Arabidopsis thaliana: one gene and its partners. The protein of the gene in region 3 purifies or fractionates together with the protein of the main gene of each other region. This does not show direct contact. Each region holds a gene or a part of one and is shown on either strand. Other genes may lie near its edges. The genes, in order: AXL, AT3G25880 and AT2G19940.

Evidence for each region.
Region 1: the proteins of AT2G19940 (region 3) and AXL fractionate together in Arabidopsis thaliana (co-fractionation; one large-scale study listed by BioGRID). This does not show direct contact.
Region 2: the proteins of AT2G19940 (region 3) and AT3G25880 fractionate together in Arabidopsis thaliana (co-fractionation; one large-scale study listed by BioGRID). This does not show direct contact.

Annotation. Positions count from the first base shown.
Region 1 is NC_003071.7:13,754,920-13,762,022, forward strand, and holds AXL (AXR1-like protein), read left to right. Parts: upstream 1-2,673; 5' UTR 2,674-2,782; coding exon 2,783-2,820; intron 2,821-2,928; coding exon 2,929-3,101; intron 3,102-3,194; coding exon 3,195-3,358; intron 3,359-3,451; coding exon 3,452-3,562; intron 3,563-3,648; coding exon 3,649-3,728; intron 3,729-3,858; coding exon 3,859-4,009; intron 4,010-4,103; coding exon 4,104-4,197; intron 4,198-4,446; coding exon 4,447-4,535; intron 4,536-4,738; coding exon 4,739-4,812; intron 4,813-4,909; coding exon 4,910-5,072; intron 5,073-5,142; coding exon 5,143-5,228; coding exon of another isoform or gene 5,229-5,232; exon of another isoform or gene 5,233-5,334; coding exon of another isoform or gene 5,335-5,365; exon of another isoform or gene 5,366-5,407; coding exon 5,408-5,491; intron 5,492-5,577; coding exon 5,578-5,758; intron 5,759-5,859; coding exon 5,860-5,943; 3' UTR 5,944-6,233; downstream 6,234-7,103. Other genes in the region: GLR5 (glutamate receptor 5), read right to left, coding at 1-703, 1,053-1,314; AT2G32415 (Polynucleotidyl transferase, ribonuclease H fold protein with HRDC domain-containing protein), read right to left, coding at 6,388-6,451, 6,640-6,970, 7,076-7,103. UniProt on the Arabidopsis thaliana protein: Regulatory subunit of the dimeric ECR1-AXL1 E1 enzyme.
Region 2 is NC_003074.8:9,468,034-9,472,693, forward strand, and holds AT3G25880 (NAD(P)-binding Rossmann-fold superfamily protein), read right to left. Parts: upstream 2,001-4,660; coding exon 1,954-2,000; intron 1,843-1,953; coding exon 1,687-1,842; coding exon of another isoform or gene 1,680-1,686; exon of another isoform or gene 1,581-1,679; coding exon 1,559-1,580; 3' UTR 1,072-1,558; downstream 1-1,071. Other genes in the region: NIMIN-2 (NIM1-interacting 2), read right to left, coding at 2,488-2,856.
Region 3 is NC_003071.7:8,610,862-8,617,596, forward strand, and holds AT2G19940 (Putative N-acetyl-gamma-glutamyl-phosphate reductase), read left to right. Parts: upstream 1-2,064; 5' UTR 2,065-2,169; intron 2,170-2,172; exon of another isoform or gene 2,173-2,292; 5' UTR 2,293-2,306; coding exon of another isoform or gene 2,307-2,341; coding exon 2,342-2,354; intron 2,355-2,485; coding exon 2,486-2,655; intron 2,656-2,981; coding exon 2,982-3,089; intron 3,090-3,194; coding exon 3,195-3,281; intron 3,282-3,361; coding exon 3,362-3,412; intron 3,413-3,486; coding exon 3,487-3,558; intron 3,559-3,643; coding exon 3,644-3,763; intron 3,764-3,851; coding exon 3,852-3,912; intron 3,913-3,988; coding exon 3,989-4,069; intron 4,070-4,145; coding exon 4,146-4,225; intron 4,226-4,300; coding exon 4,301-4,390; intron 4,391-4,462; coding exon 4,463-4,591; intron 4,592-4,680; coding exon 4,681-4,788; 3' UTR 4,789-5,256; downstream 5,257-6,735. Other genes in the region: AT2G19930 (RNA-dependent RNA polymerase family protein), read right to left, coding at 1-23, 183-366, 568-639, 769-898, 1,037-1,181, 1,274-1,598; GC1 (golgin Putative 1), read right to left, coding at 5,480-5,536, 5,616-5,660, 5,745-5,843, 5,930-5,975, 6,065-6,141, 6,230-6,325, 6,416-6,463.

The DNA of each region.
Region 1 (7,103 bases), 5.1 Mb from region 3:
TCGATGCCATGCGCAATCATCCACACTGTATCATAGGCATGTAATGCGTAGGCATTCATTGATCTGTTGCTCTGCAGTTTATGCGTGAAATGTTCCATCTTTACGGATTCTGGGATATGTTGACGAAGCCCCACTACTCCTTCAAGGCGTTTTAGAGTACCTTTGTCACTCAAAGAATCTAAGGTAACAGAGAGCCAGTCTGTGGCGAGCCATACGTATTCATGGGTCATCATCTGCAGCTTTTGCGCTATATCAAAAATTCTGAGCAATGGGTCCGGACCAAAATGAAGAATATAAACTCGAGGACCGATGGACTTGGATTTGTTCAAAGCATTAGTAAGGAATTTTTCATCAGAATGAACTGAGAGCGGCACTTTATAGGAAATTCTGGATCTTTTCTTGTACAGTTCATCATCTAGAGCAGAAACTCCATTTCTTCCGAGCTCATCATCCGAGTAAACTGAGATCACTTCTTTCCATCCATAAAAATTGATAAGATCCACAAGGGCAGACATTTGGTGGGCATCATTAGGTGTAGTCCGAAGAAAGAAGGGAAATTGGAGGGCAGAGAGAGTTGGATCAGTTGCTGCAAATGAGACAAGAGGAAAGTGGAGCCCTTTTGCAATATCGGAAATTGTATGAGCAACAGAGGATGAAATTGGACCGATCATAGCCACCACTTCTTTCTCAAGCAATTCAAAAGCTGCAAAACAAAAACCACTGAAGCTTAAACCAGGCCCTTAGTGGTAAAACCAAAGTTTTGTTTCCACTTATGTACAGGAAACACAGGTCCTAGTAACAGCCTGTTTAGGGTATGCGGTCTATATTGTTCTATGCATTATTAGCATTCGGAACCCAAAATATGTACCAATAAAAAACGGATTAAAACGTAAATCGATGTGCCAATCATTTCCAACTATCACAAAATGAAATATTGTTGCTACTGATGTGCATTGACCGCTTTCTATAATATGTTTGATATACTGTATCAGCCATGGATGAGTGTCACAAGTGTTTGAAACACAAAAGAACTAGAAGAACAGTCACGGTACCTCCAAAGGACCCACGAAAGACATTGCAGGCAGAATCCTCCATTAATAGCCGTAGCTCCGTTTCTTTGAGAAAGCTTTTATCATTGTTCACATCGGAAACAGCTGCCTCTAGAGCTACTTTTGCAGCTCTTCCGATAACCGAATCAAAAGCAAAAACAGCACCGATGTTCACCAGTTGAGGTCTTTGGCAATCCATTGGAACCACCAGAATGACCACAATCAGTGCCGTAATAGCGACAGATGGGTCAATGCCCAGTCCCATGGAGATAATGCAATCAAAGTAAGGACCACTTCAGATAGTTTGTGTTGGAACTAGAACCATCTCATTTAAATCTAGCAACTCTTCATTCAGCATTGAGGATGAGAAGATTAGAGAACTAAGCAAGGTAAAGTTTCCAACTTTGACCTGTAGAGTCAATGCGATTAGAAGACGAATCAAGATCTAAGCGAAGAGCAATCACAAGTCAAACCAAATTGATTATTTTAGCTGAAAACTAGCAACAATGTGGATATGAAGACTTATATACACAAACTCATCCGGACAGAAGAAAAATCTGAAAAAGAGTTTTTACAAATTCATTGAAATTAACAACAGTGAGACATTCTCTTTACCTCTTTGAGCTACCTTCTGGTTCTCTCTGCGGAATATACGCAAACACTTTGTAGGCATAAGTTAAAAAAGGGAAATTTTACGACAACGCAACGAATTTTTAACAAGAGAAGTCAAGAACTATCTTTTTTAAAAAACCATGATTTGACAGGAGATTACTAAAGGAAGAGAAACAAAACTAGAGAGATCAAATCATGCCCAGAAATTCATCCATCATTCTTCTTCTTCTGAGAACAAAATAGAAGAGAGAAATTGAAAAACGTGTGACTGAAGTGCTTTTTTGATTCGAGCTCACAAAGTCCTATCTAGTCTATATACTCTATAGTCACAGCAGCCGTTTGTTTGTATTTTTGTTTTCAGTGGGGCCCATCATTATTGGGCCCTACATGTAACGGCCCATTTTGTTAAGTTTATTTAAGATTAGATTACAATATAAATATTTTAATTGCCATGTGTTAATCATTTTATTTCTTCTCAAAAGTTTATTCTCTTAAGTTAATTTGTCAATGAAATGTTAATAGTATTTCATTTTATTTTTGCATAAAGAGAGACCCGTAGCAAGGCAAAATTTGAGTTGGCGTTTTTTATTCATAATAAAGATTTTTAGGCGGCAAAAAACTATTACATAATGAGATTTTATCACTTATTCATCTAATAATATTTAATTAAATTACATATGTGTTTTTTTCTAGCTATGTCATTTATTTTTACAATTTATATAAAATTTTGATATGTTTCCATGTATATATATATTTTAATAAATGAAAACTCAATCCAGAAAACATAAATTTTGATTTTATTTTAAATTATATGTTTTTATTTATAATTTGTTATCTCTTTTATACATTAAGGTGTTTTTGCAATAATACAGTCTTAATTTTTAAAAATTACAATTAAGCCCTAAACTTTGTAAATGTTCCAAATTAGGAAGGAAATAAAGAAAGGAGACAACTTAAGGTTCTCTTATTAAATGCCATTCCCTTTCTTTCTTACAAGTCACAACCTCTCTCTCTCTCTCTCTCTCTCTCTCTCTCTCTCTGCGTCTTTCTCTTTCTCTCTGTCTGAAGTTGAGAACACGAACCACTGAAAAACCCGCGAAAGACTCGAGCACGAACCAACAATGGCGGAACCCAAAACCAAGTATGATCGTCAGCTAAGGTGCACTCTTTCTCCTCCCAACTCTCTTTCTCTTCTTCAACTTCTCTGTCTCTTTCATCATTCTTCTTAATTTCGCTCAAATTGTGATGATTGGGGATAAATTCATAGGATTTGGGGAGAATTAGGTCAATCAGCTCTTGAAACCGCGAGCATATGTTTGCTCAATTGTGGTCCAACTGGCTCTGAGGCTCTAAAGAATCTTGTTATTGGTGGAATCGGAAGTATCACCATTGTCGACGGATCTAAAGTAGAAATTGGCGACCTTGGAAACAATTTCATGGGTATAATTCTCTCTTTTTCATCTTTCTTAAGCAATGCGTTTCTTCTATTTGCTGTTTATTGACATTTATTGATGATTGTTGTTGATGTTTCAGTGGATGCGAAGAGCGTTGGTCAGTCAAGAGCCAAAACGGTCTGTGGCTTTCTTCAGGAGCTTAACGATTCTGTTAAAGCAAATTTTGTTGAGGAGAATCCAGACACTTTGATATCGACAGACCCATCTTTCTTCTCTCAGTTCACTCTAGTTATCGCCACTCAGGTACATTATGTTGAGGATTAGATAGTTTCTAGTCTTTGTTTTCAGATTTTCACAGAGCGTTTGCCTTATTAGTTTGTCATGTGTTGATTGTAGCTAGTAGAAGATTCAATGGTGAAATTAGATAGAATCTGCCGGGAAGCAAACGTCATGTTGGTTTTGGCTCGCTCCTATGGACTTACTGGGTTTGTTCGTATCAGTGTAAAGGTAAGATTTTTGTGGATAGAGTGCTTTGTCACTTGTCATATGGTCTGTCTGCTAACTGCTATGTCATGTTCGCTCTTTCCTGTCAGGAACACACCGCTATTGAGACAAAGCCTGATCATTCTCTTGATGATCTCCGCTTGAATAGTCCATGGCCTGAGCTGAAGAGGTACTCTGCTTCAATCTTCTCACTCGTTATGTGTTCTTGCCATTCTTTAAACTTGTGTTTCAAATTACTTTTAATCTCCACAAACTTGCAACCAGTTGAAAGAAAATCTTATTTATTCAATGATCTGCAGCTATGTGGAGTCCATTGATCTAAATGTAGAAGAACCCGCTGCCCATAAGCACATTCCTTACGTCGTCATTCTAGTCAAGGTGGCTGAAGAATGGGCTCAACACCATAGCGGCAACCTTCCATCAACCAGGGAAGAGAAAAACGAGTTTAAGGTATCCTTACTTTTTGTTAATCAGCAAACAGTTATTAATCTTTGTTTTTCTTGTGATTCCTTGTCTTTATCTCTCTTACTCCTTGAAATTTTAGGACTTAGTTAAGTCCAAGATGGTATCAGCGGATGAAGAAAATTACAAAGAAGCCCTTCTTGCAGCTTTCAAAGTCTTTGCTCCTACAGGAATCAGTAAGTATACATACACCTCGTCTTGACATCGGTGGAAACTGGACTTTTAAATATATACTATAGATGCTGGAAATAAAGAAATTGGTTGGAGAATGGGAAAAACTGCAACGAGAACCAAATGGACAACTATCTACTATTTTCATGAAGCATGATTCATTGCTGCTCATTCATAACAGATCAGTTAACATTGGAGTTCAAAATATGAAGTCAGTTTTCACATTGAACTAAACATGTTTTCTTTTTCTCCAGGCCAAGAGATTCAAGACATTAATCATGATAGTTGTGCTGAAGTTGGCTCAAATTCCTCAGATTTTTGGGTAATGGTAGCAGCACTCAAGGTTTGTAACTTGAAAGACCTCACTTCAAAGCACATACTTCATATTGATATTTCAAACATGGAAGGGGTTGAGAACGTTTGTTGGGGTTTTAGTATTTTTTTGATCCAAGTTAGCTTTTTTTTCTGATTCCCATCAACATGGCTCAAATTCCTCAGATTTTTCTGATCCAAGTTAACCCTACTTATTATATGCATCATCTGCAGGAGTTTATTTCAAATGAAGGTGGTGGGGAGGTACCACTTGAAGGTTCCATGCCTGATATGATATCTTCCACAGAGTAAGTTCTCCTGTTCTTGCTTTTGTTTCATGGGAGGGATAAAATTCGTCCATCACCTTTATCAGATTACTATATAGCTGTATTGTATCTTTTGCAGGCACTACATCAATTTGCAGAAAATCTACCATTCCAAAGCGGAAGCTGATTTTCTTTCCATGGAACAGAGAGTAAAAAGTATTCTAGTTAAAGTTGGTCAGGATCCAAGTAGCATCTCAAAGCCAACTATCAAGAGCTTCTGCAAGAATGCACGAAAACTTAAAGTGAGAATGCTGAAATTTCTTACAATTTGATGTGTACTGTATCATTAAAACCGGGAATTGCGCCTTGTAGGTCTGCAGATATAGAACGATAGAAGACGAGTTCAAAAGTCCTTCTACAACAGAACTACATAAGTACTTGGCTGATGAGAATTACAGGTAAGAATGACTTCGTCAAAATTGATTCTTTTATACGACCATAGAGACTGTGATAACAAAAATATTACTGGAGTATATTTGTAGAACTGAAAAATAATATTTACAGTTGCAGCATTTTGGAGGCATGTTGCTGTTAGCTCTTAAGGGTCTTACCACTTTTCTGTTTATTCCTCTTGCAGTGGCGCAATTGGATTTTATATTCTTCTTAGAGCTGTTGATAGATTTGCTGGTACCTATAAGAAGTTTCCTGGACAGTTTGATGGGTAAGAGAACACATTCTGGCAAAATTTGATTGTATCTTGAATAATTTTGGCATTGTTAGGCCATTAACATGTCTCTTTTCTCATAGATCAACTGATGAGGACGCATCCCAGTTAAAGACTATTGCCCTGAGTCTTCTTAGTGAAATGGGTTGTGACGGCTATGAACTTCAGGAAGAACTGTACAATGAGATGTGTAGATTTGGTGCTGCAGAGATTCACGTGGTTGCTGCTTTAATAGGAGGAATCACATCTCAAGAAGTGATCAAGGTTCGTTTCATATCCATGTTGCTCAAAATGGTTACCCCGCAGTATCAAATAGGAGTGTGAAACAAACATTAACCTCTTTTATGGTTTGGCAATGTTTGCAGCTCATCACAAAGCAGTTTGTTCCCAAGCGAGGAACTTTCATCTTCAACGGCATTGATCACAAGTCTCAGTCTTTGACATTATAGAAGATTCTTAGACACTGGTGGCTGCAGAAGAACTCCAACATATCTTTTACCCTCACTTCAAGTTGAAACTTAACCTTTTCTTGGAGTTTTTATTCTGCTATACACCAGACTAACTAGATATCATTTCTTTGTAGAAACAGTTTCGAATTCCTCATGTATATTGATTGATTTTGAGCCGCGGTTCAAAACCGAAGAGCTCGCGTTAAGTGATGGGCATAGAGCCATTTTTGTATGACTTTCCTAAAGCAAAATTCTGGTATCGTTTCAAAATAGTCATATACTGCAATTTTAAAAGGATCAGACTTTTGGCTAAAACAAAGTACAGAGGTCTACAGAAGAATACAACAACAAACCACTGATGCGGTCGGGGGATTACAAAATAATCCTAGATTATGACAATCCAAAATTGACGAAACGGTAGAGATGGTACAGAAACAGACAAATCTACTCGGTGGAGAGTCTCTTTGTGGGATTGTAAACGCTGAATTCTCCAAAGTCTCTTCGGCCACTAGCAACAAAACAATCAAACCCTTGTAAAGAACAAGGTCCACATAAATTCACTTTTAGTAAATTCAAAGACTTTTGGTTCTCTAACACAAAAGTTGTTACTTGTCTCATGTCACAACAAGATATGATAAACATCCAAGTAGAACCTCAAGTTTATAATTAAAAAGAAGACGTAAATCTAAGGTTTACCTGTGACTAACATTCCAACCACCAGGTAAATGGCGAGGATGAACAGCATCAACAAACACTTTTCTCCACCTTTGACAGAAATCACGTACACCATCTTCTCCATGTTCCCTTAAAAGATATTCTACGATCTGTTTCCCGTGCGGTCCATGTCCTAACAAAGAGAGTTTGGAGTTTTGTTGGTGCAACGTATTCCCATTACACTGAGTATCATTTAGCTCTTTAGCTCCATCTCCTTCACTTGTACCATCACCACTATCATCAACAACTGTGCTCCTTTCTACAGTCATAATTTTCTCAAAATCTGCAAGAGCCTCCCCATCATTGTTTTCATCTAAAGATACGAAGTTGTTTGCATCAGTATTTCTGGATATCAAAGGATCATCATATCTTACACTTTATCAACCAACACAATTTTCAATGCTTATTATATGGTTACCTTCTTGTTTGTCCATACCAGCAACCTC
Region 2 (4,660 bases), on a different chromosome or scaffold from region 3:
ACTACTATTGTGAATGACTAGACTTTTAACTCGTTTAATATATTGTTTGTGTTAGAAAGATATAATAGATTTTAAAAGAAAAAAAAGATTTGAGAATTATGTATATAAAACAAAAAGAAGACATGTTAATTTGCTTCAATCATATCATTTCGTGTTAGTAATTCTATATCTTATCATCCACTTTTGACTTATTCAATTAACTTAAAGTATCATAGGAAAGAACGAGATAGCACGTCATATTAAAATGGATGGATGTGATTCACACTTGCACAATTCTCGTCTTGCGCTAAATTTCTGTCCAATTTCGTCTGCCAACCTACAACTTACAAGGTCCAAAAGCCCTTTAATATAATTACGCATTATTAGTATTTTCCAATGTCAAGAAAACAATAAATGGACTATAACTCTCTGCTTAATGCCTAAAGGGCTAGAACAATTAGTCAATTAGTGGATAGACGATTTTTTAGAGGTTTAAATAGTTTTCAAATAAAAATAAAATATATTTCTGTATTAATATAACATAATAAAAACAAGTTAATAGAAATAAATTGTATATTTTAAATTAATCAAAATACATAAGCAAGAAATATGAGTATTCAGTATTCACTAATTTTAAAATACATAAATTTAAAAGCATTAGGCTAAATTCACCTATCTTACCAAAATCTATCTAATACAATTAATCTGCATGATAACTGGATAATCTGCTAAATCTAACTAGCTACTTAAGAGGTGGTGATCTACGCCTAGAACGTCTAATCATGATTTAGGAGATTTTAAGCGGCTACACATTTACAACATAACATATTATAAATATTATATTATAAATAAAATTCATAGAAAACTATCTCTTAGAAAAATAAAAATATGAAATTATAAACAAAACTTAGATAAAACCATTTATAATTCATAGCAAACAATATATACAAAGCTAAAACTTATAATTTAAATTGATATAGTTGGAAACAAACAATATATACAAAGCTAAAACTTATAATTTAAATTTATATAGTTGGAAACAAACAATATATACAAAGCTAAAACTTATAATTTAAATTTATATAGTTGAAAACTAAAAAATAAACTAAAATAAAACTTATGGAATTTTAGACAGCCAAAACGGTTATTTAGATATCACATAAACGTCTAAAATCTAGATGACGATCAACTAGGGATGTCAGACGGGCGAGCACGCGACCAAATGGGGGGTCCGTGATGGCCCGTGCTTCTTTTCCATAAGTGGTGGTCCGGTCCGCCAACGACCACATGCGACCAATCGAAGCCCATATTCGCCTCGCAATGTCCATTGGTCTAACGGTCTGGCCCGCAATCCTGTTCTGTTCTAGTTGTCTCTGAAACACACTGTGTTGTTCTCGTCTCTGAAACACAGTGTTGTTCTCGTCTCTGAAACCTTCGCTTATGGAGAACTTCTGTTCTATTGCATGCCTTTGAAGACAAGAGACTTTGACCGTAATAAATGGTTATTCCACAAGTTTTGTAATTCTGTGTTATCACCAAACACAAACTGTTCAGTCTACTCCATCGTTAATATCTAGGTTCACCATTGAATCTTCCACCAGCTATAACCAAACAACGACGAAAAAGAGATGTCATAACTATTTAACTACACAAATAGCATCTAAAAATAGCAACAAAAAAAATCAAAAACTAGTCATTACTTAGTACCTATGAAATTGTTTCCAAATGTCTCCAATTAGAACCTTGGATCCTTCAACGATGGTGATACTACCAACACCACCAAGGACGAGATTCTTCAAGGCATTGGAACCAATAGGACCACAATTGAGTAAACAGATACTCGCTTCTTCCAAAGTCCCTTGACTTCACCTCAAAATCCTAATCAATCAACGATTACTTCATAAAATTTCCTCCCAACAAGATTCGTTCGAAGATCGATAGAATAATACAAATGTAGAGTTCGAAGAGACTAACATAGTATACATGAGTTGACGATCGTACTTGGCTTTAGGTTCCATCATTGTTAGAGATGAGAGATCATATGTTCGTAAGTCGTAAACAGAGGAAGAAGAACAAGCGCGTCGTCCACAAGTCCGCAGACATTAATAGATAAACCATGACTAATCCACAATCCAAAGTTCCAAACGCACCCAACCCGCAATGCCCGCTCTTTTTTTGGACTCCCTTATACAGGCCCATACCTACTCTGCAATATTACTAAACGGGCCAGGCAAAGGCCCAATTGATATCTTTACCATCAACACTTTTTTAAAACATTGATTTTAGTAAAATTTATGTTGTTTAGGAACGTCAAACGCTTAAATAGCTTTTGTTTGACTTGTAGTTTTGCAAATATATAACTTCTCTTTTGACGTATAAAATAAAACTGAAGAATCTGAAATTTGGATAACATGTTAATAATCTTCTTTTACCATTTTTTTCAAAAGTATTGTAGTTAAAAAAAAATTGATTATTGTAAGAAGGGGAAAAACATGAAGGACTACAAGTCTACAACGATAAACTAACGCTGTCTGGTTCCGGTTTACAGTTCAGATCCAAACCCAAACCCTGTAACCCGACCCGATTAATCTCATCGAATTCTCCGTCTCGAACGCCGTTACAATCCAACGAGTTTCTCAACCCAAGATTCTGACTCCGTTTCCTCTTCTTAGACGGTAACTCTCCCTCAGCAACACCGCCGTTAACTTTCGCAACCGTTCGTGTCGCCACGTGTACTCTCCGTAATATCTTGAAAAACTCATCCACCTCTTCCTCCGTTACCGTCCGAACAACTTCCGTCGACGGTTTCCCTCTGTTACCGTCAGATTTTCCGTTATCTTCTTCTACGCGTTCTTCTTTCTTCAAAGAGTTGTTCATGTTAGCCAGAAGAAAATGTTAACGGCGTCGTTTAAGCTTAGTCAAGAAAAAATTATTTGCTGATTTTATTTTGCTAAAATTTATAATGAAACTCTTATAGCCGTCGGTGTGGAACTTAGACGGTCGATATTGTCAACAACTAAATAAATTGGACGGTGGAGATTGATGCTAATGACATCATCATGCGATGTTTTAAAGCGTAAGTATCATGACGTCACACTTTATTGACTTTTGGAATAAAGGAAGTCCATGTGTGGAAAAATTGGTATCGGCTATATTTTTAGAGTATATGTAAGAAATAACTTTTGACTTCAAAAGAATACACAAAATAACCTTGGACCAAATAGTATTTGTCGGCTACAGAAATTTTGGCAATAGTTAGTCTATTTTAGCCTTTCTCTTTCTTCTTCCTTCTTTTGTTTCTTTTTCATCTTCTTTACGAGACTTTAGCCATGGAGTTCTCTTTCTCTCTTCATCTTTAACACAATTCATCTTCTTCAGATTCACCATGTCATTTTCTTTTTCTATTTCTCTCTCCCTCTCCTAAAATAATCTTCACCACCTCTCATAAAATATATCATCATATCTCTTTATTTTGTTCACCTACATGTTCTCTCTTTCTTTTTCCATAGAAATCTCTCTATCTCTCATTCTTTATTTTCTCTTTTTACCTGAATTTTCCGTCAATGTCGTTGTGATATAAGAGATTAGATTTGATTTTAAAACAAATGTCTGATTTTAAAATGCATGTATTTTAAGAACAAAACATGTTATTAACACTGATATATTAATATTTGTCATGCTATCCAATAAAAACTCATGAAATAAATAAATATTTGTCATGTTATCCAATAAAAACCCATGTAATATTGTAACAATTCTATATGTTTTTTTAAACTTCGCGATCTATAAGAGAATTGCATGCTTTTTATAAATATTTCGTGCTATTTCTGAGAAACACATTATTTCAGAGAAACATATATATCGTGTATATATATTCTGTATGTATTTTAAAGAATTGCATGATTTTTGTAAATATATCATGCTATTTTAGACAAATACATATAAACTTTATAACTAAAGCCAATGGCATTATTGTAAAAATAAGTAAACACAAGGATATTTTTGTATTTTCTCTTTTTCAGAAAATGTTATTTACCTAACTTTTCTGACACAATGTCATTCTCTCAATTCTTTTCCATTTCATAGTTAGTTTCTAATATTACCCATATTTTTATATACATAGAGATCTATATTTTTATAATTTAACAAAGACCAAAAAAATTTGGCCAAACAACAAATAAATAAGGAAGACTAAGAACTTGTGAATTGTGATCATCGTTAACGTGGGGAAGATTTTCTTGCGATTATTATTCCTAGTCTTATTTATTTATTTATTTCCACTATCAATTTAAAATGACACGTAAATTTGTAATGATTTTTCGAATAATGTAAGCACTAATTGATATTGGTGTTTTAACTTTTAACAAAAGAAAACAAAGATCTACATATGGGCCTAAAGTAAAAGCCTTTTAGTTAAGTACATTATAATTGGGCTTTATATCTTAACAACGTCGAATCAATTGTAGGGCCGACGTGGGCGGCTAAGCTGTTTCCAACTTTCCAACTTCCGACCAGCTCCACTTGTGTCTTTCGCTCTCTCTACACTTATGTTTTTTTTTTTTCAACTCTCTGTTTTGTCTGACGTGTCCACTTACTAATAATTTTTGAAAAAACTTTCCACATATAAAAATTGCTTGATGGTCGTCGTCGATGGCTGCATTATTTATGAATGTATTAGTCC
Region 3 (6,735 bases):
CTCTTTTCCTCCATCTTTGAAAACTGTTCAATAGAATGTCACAAAGAGCTACAATATCAGGTTCTAAATCTAAAGCAGAAGTATGATATGTGTATAGCTTAGCAACATTACAATAAATAGTTTTGTATGTGTAACGACATAAATGGTAGTTAATCAAGAGAAAAAGGGAAAACAATGCCCACCAAAAAATTGATAACGACGTAAACCAATCATGATACCGTTCTTGGCAATCCCTTTGTATGTAAAGTAATGGTCAATGCTATATGTTGATGAACTTTTCTGGACATCCGCGAATTTGACGGTTAAAACATTATCATCACCCAAGACCTTGTGCAAGTGTGTTCCAGTGTGTTCAAGAAGAGGGCCCTGTGAACACAGTGTGTCGATAAGTATATTGAGTCAATGTCAAGGTGCAATGTTTGATAGACATATCAATTGTTTTATAGACATATGATAGCGACTTACAAAGAATTTCTTCTACAGCTTGAATCAAAAATATTACACAAAGTACATATGCCTAATGGAAAAAGCAAACAGAAAAGATAGTACTTGAAGAGCTGAAAGAACCTTGAATGTGTAGCTACCATTGGGAGCAACATTACACTGATAGTAATGGGTCTTCCCGCTATCCCATTGCAACTGGGGAAATGAAGCATGATAGAAAATGCAGTTAATACAACTTTGATACCAAACTCAACTTCTTGTAAAATTACCTTCAGAAACGCAAACATGAAAATATAAACAAAACCCAATAGAATAGAACAATACCATTCTTCGGTCCTTTTGGGGACAATAATGCCGGCCCAAGCGGTCCCAAACCGCTGCTTCATATTCAACCATTGGCAAATCTTTCCACAGTCTAATCTCATCAGCAGTTATAACCTGGCCCACATGTTGCCTGTATAACATCAAATAAAGAAAAAGTTAAGCATCACCAAAAGAGGTAATTGTCACCATCAAAACCAAACAATTACAATAGGTGGATAAGAGAATATAGAGATGTAAGAAATTGGGAAACTTGCATAACAAACATTACCCTGGAATATAGCTAAGTAACAAAAACACCTTCTTAAATTCAAGTTCACCCAAAGCTACCAGCTGGGGAATGTGCAGAGATCCTCCTTTGTCTTCACTTTTCAAAGACTTAGGAGAAGGAGCATCAGAATCAACAGACATCTCTTCTGCAATCGCCAACAATCATAAGAAAAGTAAAGATTTTTACTATCCAAATTCACATTTTCACAAGCAAAGAGAGTTTGTTTCTGATACTAACCTTGAAGAACCCTGGACACGTGTCTTCCAGAGGGGCTAAGAGAGTTCGCCGGCTGTGGATAGCCAGTAAAACTAACGGCTTGGTTAACCTTAGAAACGATGAAGCTGTCGAGGTTGTATATCAAACCAGCCTGCAAACTAAAAACTTTCCTGACCAACTCAAAACCCAAATTCTCAGGAATCGAAGACAGTCTCTGTCTCGTCTCATCATTAATCGGAGTAAGATTGTGTTTTCTGTAGATATTCTCTAAAGCTGTTTCAATCCGACCCGAAAGAGCGATCCTTATCCTCGAAGAAGCTTGATTCATGCTGCGAAAATTTATCATTTTTCTTCCCGTTCGTCGGAATCTCACACTTTCTTCTTCTTCTCTCTTACTTCAGAATTTAAGGGTTGCCAAAAAAAAATACCCAGTAGAGAAACAGTTTCTACTGTTAGTGATTGGATTTGATTTGACGATGACACAAGAAGAAACAGAGAGGAAATAAAAAGGTCGGAGCTTTTTCTCTAGATTTTCTTTTGACTCCATTGAAACAAATTCATCTAACCGCTTCGGCGCTTACTCAAGTAATTGACATGAATGCCTTTACTCTTAGTCTGGGAATTACCAAAATGCCAGATTTTTGTCGTCACCCGATGCAAACGCCAAGACATATCGCGTTTTCTGCAAACGATTAATTCGTCGATAAACCGGGTTGAACCACGGGTAGCCTGTTCAGTAAACGGGTTCGATCCCTGAAACGGCACCGCTTTGATAGGTTTTAAGTAGGGCTAGCTGAAACGTCGTCGTTCTTGCGTTTTCGTCCCACAATCTTTGTCGTGGTTTTCTGCTGTCTTCTTCTCCGTCGAACTTCTCCGACCACTTCGTATAGAGAGAGAGAGTGACGAAGAGTTTACGGGTATTTGTTTCATCACTACCATAATTGACTCTCAATATCAAATCACATTGAGAGAAGCTAATTTCTTCTTGTTCTTAGCAAAAAGATTAGTCTTTTTTTGTTCCTGAATTTTGTTTTTTGCAGAATCGAATCCAATAATGAGTACTGCGTCGGCTTTTAGTTCAATCCAAGGATGCTGGTTCAAGGTCAATTCCTAAAACTCTTCAAAATCTCTGTTTTTTTTCCCACTGAATCCACATTCAAGCTCATTGTAGCTTGTGTTGTGTTATTGCAATCTGATAATCATGTAAATGTGGGTTTTCTTTGTTTTGAAAAGGGCGAAAGGAAAATTGTGTAGCGGATAAGCGAGCCAAGAGGCTTACTTTGGGATCCCATGTGGCTTCGCCATCTTCAATGAGCTTCAGAGTTTCAGCTAGTAGTTCTGTTAAACCTGAAAAGGATATTAGGATTGGTCTTCTTGGTGCAAGTGGCTACACTGGTGCTGAGGTTTGTGCAATGTTGAATCTGTCTGTTTCAAGTTTAATTTTCTTGGAATTGTTTGTTTTAGTGATCTCTTTGGTTTTGCAATGAATCAGAGCTTAAGTGGTATGCATCTTGTTGCAAGTTTTTGACTTTTTGGGTATTGGCCTTCTAATTTAGCTTAAGCTGTAAACATATGCAAAGTTAATCTTTTCTCGATAAAAGGAAGAGAAAAGTCTTATAGTCGTTGCTTTAAAGTTGTTTAAAATTACAAGGGAAAGAATGGATGAGGCATTCAAGGTTTCATTCAAACCCATGAGATGGTAAGTTTACTCTTCTTTATTGAATTGCAGATCGTTAGGCTTCTTGCAAATCATCCGCATTTCCAGGTCACTTTGATGACTGCTGATAGAAAAGCTGGCCAGTCAATGGAAAGCGTTTTCCCACACCTGAGAGCTCAAGTATAAGTGATTTCTATCCCTAGTAATATACCAAGAAATGAATCTGTTCAATGTTACTTTGTGATGGTGTATATTGATTAATAATTGAACCTTTACTGTCCACAGAAACTACCTACTTTGGTCTCGGTAAAGGATGCAGATTTTTCTACTGTGGATGCTGTATTCTGCTGTTTACCTCACGGAACAACTCAGGTTCATTTTCCTTTCATTCTTCCATTTCAATTTCTTAAAGCTTTTCTTAGCTTAACGGAAATGAGTGTGTATTTCAACAGGAAATCATCAAGGAACTGCCTACTGCATTGAAAATCGTTGATCTTTCAGCGGTAATCCTTGAAGAACTGTTTTTTTTTTGTTCCTTTTCTTTCAGTTATAAGCCCATCTAAAATACGCTTTTCAGGACTTCCGGTTGCGTAATATTGCAGAATATGAAGAATGGTATGGTCAGCCTCACAAGGCAGTAGAGTTACAGGTACATTTCTCTCAATGTTATTCCTTGATTTTAGGTCTGTTGTGTTCATAATGGTTATACTTACCAAGTGTCCTACGGGGTTCAGAAAGAAGTTGTGTATGGTCTAACAGAGATACTAAGGGAGGACATAAAAAAGGCACGACTTGTGGCTAACCCAGGCTGTTACCCGACTACGATTCAACTTCCTCTTGTTCCTTTACTAAAGGTTTGTTTTTCTATTCTTTTCTGGTATGCGATTTTACTTAACTGCCTAGTCTTCCGTCTCTCTACTCAATGTGTTGATTTTGGTGCAGGCAAATCTCATCAAACATGAAAACATCATTATCGATGCAAAATCTGGTGTTAGTGGAGCAGGTTTGAGCTTACTCCGTGATCAATGAACAATGATGCAATGTTTCTAGTTTCTTGACTGATATGAAATTTTCATCAGGACGTGGTGCTAAGGAGGCAAATCTTTACTCTGAGATAGCTGAAGGCATTTCTTCTTATGGTGTCACCCGTCATCGCCATGGTATGTCACAAACTAATTATCACAATGAGTTAAAATTTTGCCATGATTTGAATTCAATATCTCTTTTGTTTTGCAGTTCCTGAAATTGAACAGGGATTATCTGATGTTGCACAGTCAAAAGTAACAGTCAGTTTTACGCCACATCTCATGCCAATGGTACAAATAATCTTAGCATGATTTCTATAATTTTTAACCTTAAACCCATTAACTGATCCTCAGTTGTTTGGGTAGATCCGTGGAATGCAATCGACTATATATGTGGAAATGGCTCCCGGGGTTAGAACCGAAGATTTACACCAGCAATTGAAGACGTCTTATGAGGTGATGATTACTCTTATGTTGTAAGCCAATTACTACTTTTGTTACTTATTATGTTTCAAAAATGTTTTGTAGGATGAAGAATTTGTCAAAGTGTTGGATGAAGGAGTTGTTCCTCGGACACACAACGTTAGAGGATCCAACTATTGTCATATGAGTGTCTTTCCTGATCGAATTCCTGGAAGAGCTATCATAATCTCAGTGGTAATTAAGCATAACCATCCTCTGTTATAAACTCATCTTTAGCTTTCGACAATATTGCTTTGTGTATAAAAAGCTCTCTGGTGTTGCAGATTGATAATCTTGTGAAAGGAGCTTCGGGACAAGCGTTGCAGAATCTTAACATAATGTTGGGATATCCCGAAACAACGGGGCTCCTACACCAGCCGCTTTTCCCTTAAAAATCCCACCTTTAAATCGGTAAAATAGCATTCTTCTCTCTTGTTGGCTCTGTATCTTGAAGATATTTCTGTCATTAGATTTGCCTGCTTAAGCGTTTGTCTTTATTCCTATCTTCAGATGACCAATCTGAAGCTGTTGAGACGGCAATGTTAAGCATAAAGATGGTTGGTTATATGATTCATATTTATAGACAATAAAGCCTCTTCTTTTACCATTACAAATAAATGGTTTTGTTGTTTGTTTATTAAGGTTTTGATGAACCTTTATTCTTGTTATCTCTATTTTCTGAATTGCAATTTTCGTTTGAGTCACAAAAGAAAGTTGAACTTATTCTATTACAGATTGTTGGATGTGGCGGTGGCCAAAATACATATTCAGCTTAGGGTGACCAAAACTAAACCGAGTTCGGGCGTCAGAGAAAATAAGTAAACCGAACTTTAATAGGCTCAACAGATATATATTCAAATGCTTTTAAAACCAACCATGCCTATCAATCAAGTGTGTATAAACCCCATTTACCAACATTATGTTCTTCACATACCAACAGGTTAGATTGGAATATCGTAAGAAGCAGCCTCTATATATATAAAGTTTTAAAAGTCTTCTCTATAATCCATAGTTATGCTTCTTTCTTCCACATTACTCAGCAATCTCTTAAAACCACCATGTGTTGCTTTCTTATGGAATCTGTTATAGTCTGAAAACGTTGTTGGTCATTGCCGCAACTTCCTGGGCCTCGGCTTGCTCCTACACGAGATTTAGGAACGACAACAAGTTGAGTTCCATGACTGTGATGTGATTTTCAATGTAAAATGACCAAGCATACCTGGAGTCGGTGTATTAGATACATCAAGAAGAGATGAACAAAGACCTGCAAATTCATAAATGATGTCAGCTTAATGTTCCATAAATTCACAAGTAAGGCGAATGAGATTGAAATAAGCGAGCGCCTTACAAGGTAAAAAAGTAGGAACATCCGTGCTATTGGGTACCGCCAAAGGAACCTAGTGGCCCTTACAGCTCCTGAGTCTAACAGTTTCACTGCATTCTGCAACTGAAGACAGAAGGCGAACAAAGCAAACATAAGAGTAAAGTTAAAAGAGAACGCCGACAATTCGTAATGGGCTCCCAAATCTCTACCTGTGTGCTCGCTGTAGCCATGTGTCTGTGATACAATGGAAGAGGCCTGAAATGGTATTTTGTAAGTATCGAACAACAAACTCAGCAGATATATATATATCATAAATCACATTAGAACATAGCTAAAAGACATACTCAAGTGTCTTAATCTCAGAATCTTCTTCCCAAGTTGCTGATGCGCGTCGCGAAACTCTACTTTTTTCTACCTCTACCTGAATCAACAAGTTTAGAACCTTTCTTGTAAGTATCATGGAAAAGTAAAGGTACATATATGAACCATAGAGAGCTTTGACGACGGACCTGTGCTTCATGAAGACGTTTGACCTCTTTTTCCAACTGAAACTCTGCTGCAGCCTTCTCACTCGCCATAGTCTCTAGTTGTGTTTGCTTATAGTACTGAATTAAAACCCGTGGCCAGAAGCTATCAGACAACTTCCCAATATGACTTTGATTAATAGAATCAGTACATTCAAGAGTTCACGTTACCAGTAAATCTGTTAGTTCACGGTATCGTTTCTCCAGCTCTGTATGCTCCTACTAGGTCAGAGGAATAACGATTAAACTCACGTTACATAATCATATGCATTAAAGGTACCACTTGACGAGCAAAATCAGAATAAGTTGAGTATTAAGACCGTGTTTTAGCAACCATCGAATGAATGCGTCATATTAACAAGACCGTGTTAACAAGAAGAGCAATGGGTCTTTCCCTCAAAATATTCAATAAGAATTTTTACTGGGCAATGAAATTTATTGCATTCAATGAAATAAATACGCCAAGGGGTTTAACAGAGAACTATCAGGTC